Linked DNA regions of Coturnix japonica. The protein of the gene in region 2 purifies or fractionates together with the protein of the main gene of each other region. This does not show direct contact. Links are inferred from orthologs where the notes say so. Each region holds a gene or a part of one and is shown on either strand. Other genes may lie near its edges.

Region 1 (4,058 bases), on a different chromosome or scaffold from region 2:
ACAAGTAATGAGCTGTTGTCTCCGTTGAGTTGGCTGTCATCTCGAGATTTCACATAGCGACGGTGGTTTTGATAGAAGTTAGAAAGTCCGTAATACATGAAGACGTTACTCTACAAGAAGGGTTTTGATTTACACAACAGGTCAATAAAACACACAAACATGCTGGTTAACTGAAACCTGGAAATCCAACCTCTTAAATTGTATTTACTTTATAGTAACACTCACAGTAGTGATGCTCAAAGACTCTCTTTGTACTGAATACACACAATACTATCCCAACAAAAGCTGGCATCCTGAAGTCAAACAATATCAACATGCCATAAACCAGCAGCAGGATATTCATCAGTACTATCCCAATACTTACCTTGTCCAACACCAAGCACATAAGCCTCATTATTTGCCTCAAAGAATGCATCTAGTGCTGCTGCTTCCTGCTGAACTCAGTTTAAGTTGTGCAGGAATAGCTTATCTACATGTCAAGTATATGACGCCCACCTAGGACACAGACAGTAAATCCAGATGTGTAAAAGACACGTGTCCCACTTAACACTGCAATTCCAGATAGAGAGGCACTAAAAACCATCTCATCTCTGCTAATGAAAAGACACACAGCCATCAAATCCAAGTTCATAGGAATACTAGAAATAATCCTTCAAGGCAGACACAAAGTAAGGCTGTGAGAATGCAATTTTCCTATCACTTACAAAATAAACCACATCAGCAGATCTCATTTCACTTTGCATGCAAGGTTATGTACCTCAAATGAATGTTCCAGTGTGAAATTGATTGTGCAGGTACAAGGCGGTGTGCTATCCCAGGACACATTTAAACACTTGTTGCAAGGACTGGAAGGCTCTATTCCTGTATAATCAATCTATAACAGAAAAAAAAAAAAAAAAAAATCCACATTAGTTTAGAGTGAGAAAGCAAATAAAATTGATTAATAAGCAAGAGAAATCGGTGTGGCATTTATTTTGCAGTATTACTACATCTCAGTTCCAAAAGCTCTGTTTGATGATCTCATGATCCCTTCTAACCCAAACTATTTTGTGATTCTGACTGCATATTCTGTTCCAGCCTCAGACAAATCTGGCACCAGTGTGGGCCATTAATGCTGGGAAAGAAGAGAAAGAAACAAACAAAACAACCCACCAAAACACACTGAGCAGATACTCATGGCACCACCAAACACGCTCAGTATATAACAAGCAGATCTAACCTGCTACATGCTTTCCAGAGAAGTCTCATTTTTAAAAGCCTACAAAGATATTAAATAAGAAAAAAGTTTTGCTTAAGAAAACTTTTATTTACTGCCTATATTTAGGCACTCCATCAGATTTTTCAAAGACCGCTTAATGAATCACAGAATCACAGAATGAGCCGGGTTGGAAGGGACCTCAAGGATCATGTAGTTCCAACCCCCCTGCCTGGCAGGGCCACCAAACATACACATTTACTAGATCAGGTTGCCCAGGGCCCCGTCCAACCTGGCCTTGAACACCTCCAAGGACGGGGCATCCACAGCCTCCCTGGGCACTCAAGAGCTCTCCTAAAACAGGGAAGGTGAAGACACAAATGCCAAAAACAGTAAAATACCAGATGAAAAAGAAAATACGATCACTATTAACGTAGCTTATCAAGGATCTGTCTTTAATAGTTCAGCAACAAGAACAAAAAAATTTACCTGAAATCTGCACATTTGGGCCACCTTTATGTTACACAATGTATCCTGAGCACCTGGGGCTCTCATCCTATAGCCCTTGCCAACAGAAGTCACTTGATTGACTCTCTCCTGCGTAGCTGCAGGATACAAGCGGAAGGAAATAACTGCTTTGGGTTCGGCAGGTTAGCTCCGTGTGTAGGAGAAAGATTCCATCTGTTTATGAACTATTATTTCTGCACTTAAAAGGAGCTTCCTACTTAGTAACAGAACTCAGATCAGGGCAACACGCGACAAGTTACCAAAACAAAGTGCTCTGAGCTACAAATCCTGCTCAGCTTTATGAAAGACTGCTGCAATGGTATCTTCTGATTTACAGCTGTGGTCAAACACTATAAATCATTCTGATTCTCAGTAATCTGCCCAAAAATCCACATTAAGGGTAAATTAAACAAGCGGTTTCAAGGTTCAAGGAACAATTGAAGCCTATTTCCTTCTGGATCTTCTTCAAGGTCTCCCTCCCATAGATTCTTTGATATCTGTTAAGAGCTGCAGCTCTTTCTTCAGCAAAGGCATTTCAGAGATCTGTGATCTGCTGCCAGACTGCTGACAGATGAAACCTTCCTCTGACAAGCCCAGCTGAAATAAGTTGGATTCAAGAGCTGTTAGGTGAGGGAAAGCTTTGCCTCTCACTAAATGAGATACTGCATTTATGCTGAAGTAAATATTTGACTTTCAGTATTTGAAAGAAGCTTATAAGCAGGACGGCAAATGGCTGTTTATGAGGGTGGACAGTGATAGGACAAGGGAGAATTAGTTTAAAGTAAGACAGAGGAGGTTTAGGTTGGATATCAGGAGGAGGTTTTACAGAGGGTGGTGACACACTGGAACAGGTTGCCCAAGGAGGCTGTGGATGCCCCATTCCTGGAGGCATTCAAGGCCAGGCTGGATGTGGCTCTGGGCAGCCTGGTCTGATGGTTGGCAACCCTGCACATAGCAGGGGGTTGAAACTAGATGGTCATTGTGGTCTTTTTCAACCCAGGCCATTCTACGATTCTTTATTAAGTAGCTCTGCCTCAGCACTCCTTCAGGGCTTGGTCCAGCTGCAGCACAGGGACCAGCAAGATATAAAAATTTCACTTACATGAAGAACACATTACTTGTTATGTTCCATTGACAACTGAGTGAAAGTGATACAGGTATGTCTTCATCACTTGACAAATAATGAAACCACTGCTTCAAGAACACAAGAACTGATGCATGGAGCCAAGGCAGAAATCCAGCACCAGGGCTTCAGAAAGCAACAGCAACAAGAGGCTACAGACTCAAAGGGAGCTGGTAACTCCTGGCCCAATGGCCGTTCAGTTTGTTGATGTCCTTCTCAGCTCACTTGTTTCTGTTGTGCAGAAATAACACAGCTATTGTGCATACACATTCTCCAAACCACCTGTGGTCTTTGTAGGCTTCACAGCTGTTACAACTGGATGCTACTAACGAATCAGACTATCCTGAGCTGGAGAGACCCATAAGAATCACCAAGTCCAACTCCTAGCTCCACACAGCACCCACGAACTGTGACAGCTCAGGGCTGTGCCCACTGCCTTGGGCAACCTGTTCCATGCCCGCCGCCCTGTGGTGCAGCCCCTGTCCCTCACCCCCAGCTGCCCCTCCCCTCACAGCTCCATGCCGTTCCTTCGGGCCCTGTCGCTGTCACACAGAGCAGAGCTCAGTGCTGCCCCTCTGCTCCCTGTGAGGAGCTGCAGCCGCCATCAGGCCTCCCCTCAGCTCCTCTGCTCTGGACCTGCAATTACTATCCTTGGTCACTTCCTGTAATAAAAGGCATCCAATCAGTCTGTTTTTCTTTTCTTTTCTTTTTTTTTTTTAATCCCTCTATATCCATCTCTGCAGATTTCATTATGTTTCCCATCATTTTGATGATTGGGCAACTAGAACCACACACGGCACTGAAGACGCACACGACAGTCACACACCTCATCTCAGTTCCTCATTCCTAGCAGTGCCTTTGGGTCTGGTCTTAATTACTGTTAAACAATTCACAGCAGCAATCACAGCACTGGGATGTGCTTCCTGTTCACTCAGTATCCCAGACATTGCTCAATGTATATCACATCTTAACGTGCTGTCAACAGTTCTTATGAATTCTAAAAACAAACCAGAAAAAATAGGCCCACATTGGCCTTCTTCAACAGTATAAAGCAGAAAATAGACACTTCTGAAGCTTTTTCCTCATATTTCACTCAAATGAACCATTTCCTGCTTTGAAACAGTGAGAAAAGGATAGAGAACAACCAGTGCACACACAAAAACCAACCCATAATCCTCAGACACTTCAGATTTTGGACATCTTCCACATTTAAATTCAAGAGAGCTTCTAAAG
Region 2 (4,717 bases):
CATACAGCTAATTTTAGTGTTTTTTGTTGTTGTTTTAATATTAGGAGTGAAAAAATGTCATGACATATTTAAAGACAAATAGTTTAATAAATTGCTTGTAAGTTAAACATTGCATAACAAGCAAATCAGATCCATGATCAATATGATCAAGGCTCCTGCTTTGGCCTGACTGTAAAGTCACAATGTGACCTTCCACACGTTGCTCTGGGTTAGATCCAATAAAGGACTCAGGCACCTTAAGCCTGACTTAGGCAGATTTGAGGTGCATAAGTCCCACAGTATGACCTAAACACCCTGCTCTGTGACTTATTAACCCCAGAGGAACTTGTCACCCCAAAAAGGAACATGTACTGCTCAGCTCTTTATGCACACGCAGTTTGGTCAGCAAGAGCTTGCTGTGCTAACTTCCATTGGGCTACCACTGTTCTCTCTGGGCTGCATTTATAAGTTTCCTTTCTGTGTAAATGTGGTAAAAAAGACAACTAATGCAGGCTGGGACTTCAGTGTATGCTCAGGATCCATCTGTCCTCCTTTTCTTAAGAGCACAGTGTCACAGCTTCAACAGGAAGGTCACAATAATCTCTCAGCTTAGCTTGAGCAGTAGCCTGGAAATGGCAAAGCTATAACCACGCATGTGTGACCCTTTTTCCCGTCCTTGACTGAGGGGGAAAGCGAGAATGGGAGCATCGGTCCCACTTTCACCTTAGAGAACATGGAAAACATTTGTCTCTTGGAGAGACCTGCACCTACGAGTGAGTTTTAGGTTCTGGATCTGAGGCAAATGTTTCTCACAGCCCCATCACGGTTACCAAAGATGAAAAGACATGGAGTACAGATCCTTAACCTCGCTTTGCCATAATTGCTGCTTGATGCAAAATGGGGATAAAGCTAATAACTGAAATTCAAAGACAGGTGCTGCAAAAGGAATATAAATTATTAGCAGTAGCTGAGCTGAAAAGCTTTGGGTTTTAGATCAACACCACTTTGGAGTCTGAATAGCAACATTAGCTCGACCGCACTGCACTTACTGCACACATTATATACTTGGCTGTCTAAAAACTGCTGAACATAGATAACACATCCAAATTAAAGGTCACCTGGAAAGAACCAGTCATATGCCCTTCTTCTTAATGTTACACGATCCCAAATAGCGTAATCTCTGTGGGTTTTTTTCCTTTTTTCTTCATATGTAAGTTATAAGTTTGGGTTCTCTTTGGTCTGGAAGGGTTATGTAGTGTCTGGAAAGCAACTCAATGATCAGGAACCAAAGGAAGGACAACTAACCATGCTTTGGGCAGAGCCTGGTGACTCAGAGCAGCTGATGCGACTGACTGCTGCTGAGAGGAGCGGATTTTCAGTCTGACTGCACAGAGCCATTCGCTTGCTTTATTTAAAGTTGACTTTTTAGTCACATCTTCAGTTTTACGACAGTGTAGAGTTCCACTTCATTTTAAAGGAAGCATTTAGCATAAAGCCTGAGGTTTTGTTACGTTGAATCATGGAAAGCAATACTCAATTTGTTTGAAGCTACATACAAGTCTTCGGCAAAGCCAAGCGAGTCCCCAGGTATCCCTAAATCTACGATGGACACGAAAGCACTACAGTCGAGAGAAACTTCCGCACATCCCCTCACTTAAACCCCTTCAGCTCGGTTTGTCGGGGCTTTGGAAGCCGAGACGTCTTTCTAACGGCTCCCAGCCCCAGGACCGCCATCCCTCAGCCGCCGGTTCTGCCTGGAGCACGGCTGCAGCTCGCCCCGCCGCACCGGCAGCGGCTGTTTCCCTGTGGTGTAAGGCGGGGTAGGGGTCCCAACGGTCCGTTACCCCCCGGAAGGGAGCGGCCACCGCTCCCCACCACCCTCCTCCCGCTTCCCACAGTTGCGAGAGCTGAGGGGAGGAGGGAGGGGCGCCGCCCCGCGCATGCCCGCCCGCCCCGCGTGACGTGCGCGGCCGGGGCAGCCCGGCCGGGATCAAAGCGGCCGCGGGGCGAGCCGGGCCGGGTGGTGGCAGCGAGGGGAGCGGTGTAGGGCGAGCCCGCCGGATAAAGCCCTGGGCCGGCTCCACGGGGCGGGAGCGCGGCCAGCCCAGCGGGCTGTCGGCGGTGTTGTTTCTCTGCGTCTCCTCCTCGCCTTGAGAGTGAGGCAGCCGCGCTGTGGGGCATGAGGGGCCGCGGGGCACCGCGCCGTAGCGGCGGCGGTCAGCGCACGGCTTAGCCGGGACGGCGAGGAGCGGCGGGGGAACGGGCGCGGCTCCCTGCATGTGGCACGCGAGGAGAGCCGGGCAGCCCGGCGGCAGCAGAGAGCAGCCGGCCGCGCGGACTTGAGTGCCGGGCAGCGGCGAGCGGCCGCCCGTCATGGATTGCAGCCTGCTCCGGACTCTCGTGAGCCGATACGTGAGTACCAACACCCGGCCGCGGAGCTGCCGATCGGGGTGCTCCTTCCGAGCGCGGCATCGCGGGGGTCGGGGCGGCCCTCTGCCGTTAGTGCGAAAGGCTGCAGGCAGCCCGGCCCCCTGCGCGAACGGCTGTCGGGAGACGTCCCGAGTTTCGGTCGCAGTTGTGCTGCTTGTCCCGTTTGGTCCCGGTGTTTCAGTCCGGTTGTGTTTGGCGGAGCTGGCTGGGTTAAGCAGGCGGGCGAGTGCTCGGGTAATCCTGTCTGTCTGTAGACGCGCGCGGTAGGATTCGAGCGCTCCAAACTTGCTTCGGGGACAGAGAGTTGCCCTTATTTGCTGCTCCCTCCCACTCCCAGAGCTAAAGCAAAGCAGTGCTGCGTTAGAGTGGATCTAGGTGTAGAACGAGGTGCGTAAAGAGCAGATCATTGTGATCCAAGGGCTGGGAACGGCCAGCAGGCAGGAGGATGCGGGTTGCTGCTTTTGGGTGTAGGGAAACTTCGAAACAATTGGGAAGTGATGTTGCAAAGAGGCAGCGGGGATTTCCATGCACGCACAGCTCTTCCTCTCGTGCAGGAAATGCTCTAAGCCAAGAAGCTTTCACGCTCTGACCGTACCTGCGTTTGGTCAGAGCGCTGGGTGTGCTGAGCTTTGTTCACGTAATGCACGCTCAGCTTTTTCATTTGCATTTCTCATTTACGGTGAGGCATAATGCTGGATTTTGTTTATTGCTTGTATTATTCTGCGGGATTAGGAGAGAATAGGTGAGTACTGAACTCAGGGACCTGTATAGGGATCCTTAGAAAGTAACCCCGAGGGGAGGAGGAAGTACTGTAGGAATGATGAGGTGTGAGAGAAGTCAGCTGTGTGCATGTGCAGAGCTCAGGTGAGCTGTGCTGGGCTCTGTTTTGAAACAAGATCAGTCTGAGTACACTGACCTGGCACTGCTGATCTTCATACACAGAATCACACACAGAATGACCCGGGTTGGAAGGGACCTCAAGAATCATGTAGTTCCAACCCCCCTGCCTGGCAGGGCCAACAAACATACACATTTTACTAGATCAGGTTGCCCAGGGCCCCGTCCAACCTGGTCTTGAAACACCTCAAGGACGGGGCATCCACAACCTCCCTGGGCAGCCCTGTTCCAGGGCCTAACCACTCTGCTAGTGAAGAACTTCCCCTAACATCCAACCTAAATCTTCCCTCTTAACTTAAAACCATTTCTCCGTGTCCTCTGATTGTTCAACCCTTGCGAAGAAGTTTACTCCCCTCCTGGGTGTAGGTTCCCTTCAGGTATTGAAAGGCTGCAATGAGGTCACCCCACAACCTTCTCTTCTCCAGGCTGAAATGTGGGGTTTAGCTGAAGATTTGTGTTCTCATAGCTGATACCTGTTTAAGTACTCCAAAAAAATCATACCGCATTCATTGTGCATAGAGCAAACTGTGATCTCTAGGTATTCTGCAGAACTTGAGCTCTAACCTCTCTTTCAAACTGAGCATCAAATGTGATTGAAATGAGCTTAAGATTAGCTGTAATTTCTATCTTAAAAGACAAGGATGTATGTAGGAACTTGAACGTGGCACTTGGACTTCGAAGTTGCAGACCATCATCATGCACCTGTATTGCTGCTGAGGGTAATTCAGCAGTCTAAAAGCCTGATGAAACACATAGCCCTTGTGAGGAAAGATTTCCTAGATCACTCTGCTTTCTACATTATGTATATGCCGTCTAGGCTGTGCCTGGAGAACTGCCCGGCTATTCCAAGCTGCCTTGTATATTCTCACCTGTTGCTTGCTCTTTTTTGCACTACTTTTTCTTCAGTCGTCAAGTCAGTTTCTTCATTTTTATTTTATATAGAATGAAAATGAATAGTTTGAATGCTGTGCCTGAAACTGACTGCTGTATCTGAGGAACAGATGGATGTGTCAGCAGTGTTGCTCAACAGTTGTTCACCCGAGCCGTGTACAAAGCAGTTATGGTTCAGAAGTGTGGATGTGTTTACCTTTTTCCAGGCTACTTCTTAATGAGGGAGAGCAAGCAGTAGCATTTTTGCAGGAGACAAAGAGATCCAAGGCCATATGTACTAAAGTAAGCTCGTGCTTGGGATTACAGAATCACAGAATTGTAGGGGTTGGAAGGGACCTCTAGAGATCGAGTCCAACCCCCTGCCAAAGCAGGTTCCCTACACCACGTCACACAGGAAGGTGTCCAGGCGGGTCTTGAATATCTCCAGAGAAGGAGACTCTACCACCTCCCTGGGCAGCCTGTTCCAGTGCTCCGTCACCCTCACTGTAAAGAAGTTCTTCCGCACATTGGTGTGGAACTT

The links. The genes of interacting proteins can lie anywhere in the genome.
Region 1: the proteins of ATP11A (region 2) and TMEM30A purify together in Homo sapiens (co-immunoprecipitation; 4 studies listed by BioGRID and IntAct, with this or other methods). This does not show direct contact. The link is inferred for Coturnix japonica from reciprocal best matches to the Homo sapiens genes ATP11A and TMEM30A.

Annotation. Positions count from the first base shown.
Region 1 is NC_029518.1:73,683,340-73,687,397, reverse strand, and holds part of TMEM30A (cell cycle control protein 50A), read right to left. Parts: intron 875-4,058; coding exon 758-874; intron 111-757; coding exon 3-110; intron 1-2. UniProt on the Homo sapiens protein: Accessory component of a P4-ATPase flippase complex which catalyzes the hydrolysis of ATP coupled to the transport of aminophospholipids from the outer to the inner leaflet of various membranes and ensures the maintenance of asymmetric distribution of phospholipids.
Region 2 is NC_029516.1:124,204,100-124,208,816, reverse strand, and holds the start of ATP11A (probable phospholipid-transporting ATPase IH), read left to right. Parts: upstream 1-1,725; 5' UTR 1,726-2,352; coding exon 2,353-2,391; intron 2,392-4,717. UniProt on the Homo sapiens protein: Catalytic component of a P4-ATPase flippase complex which catalyzes the hydrolysis of ATP coupled to the transport of aminophospholipids, phosphatidylserines (PS) and phosphatidylethanolamines (PE), from the outer to the inner leaflet of the plasma membrane.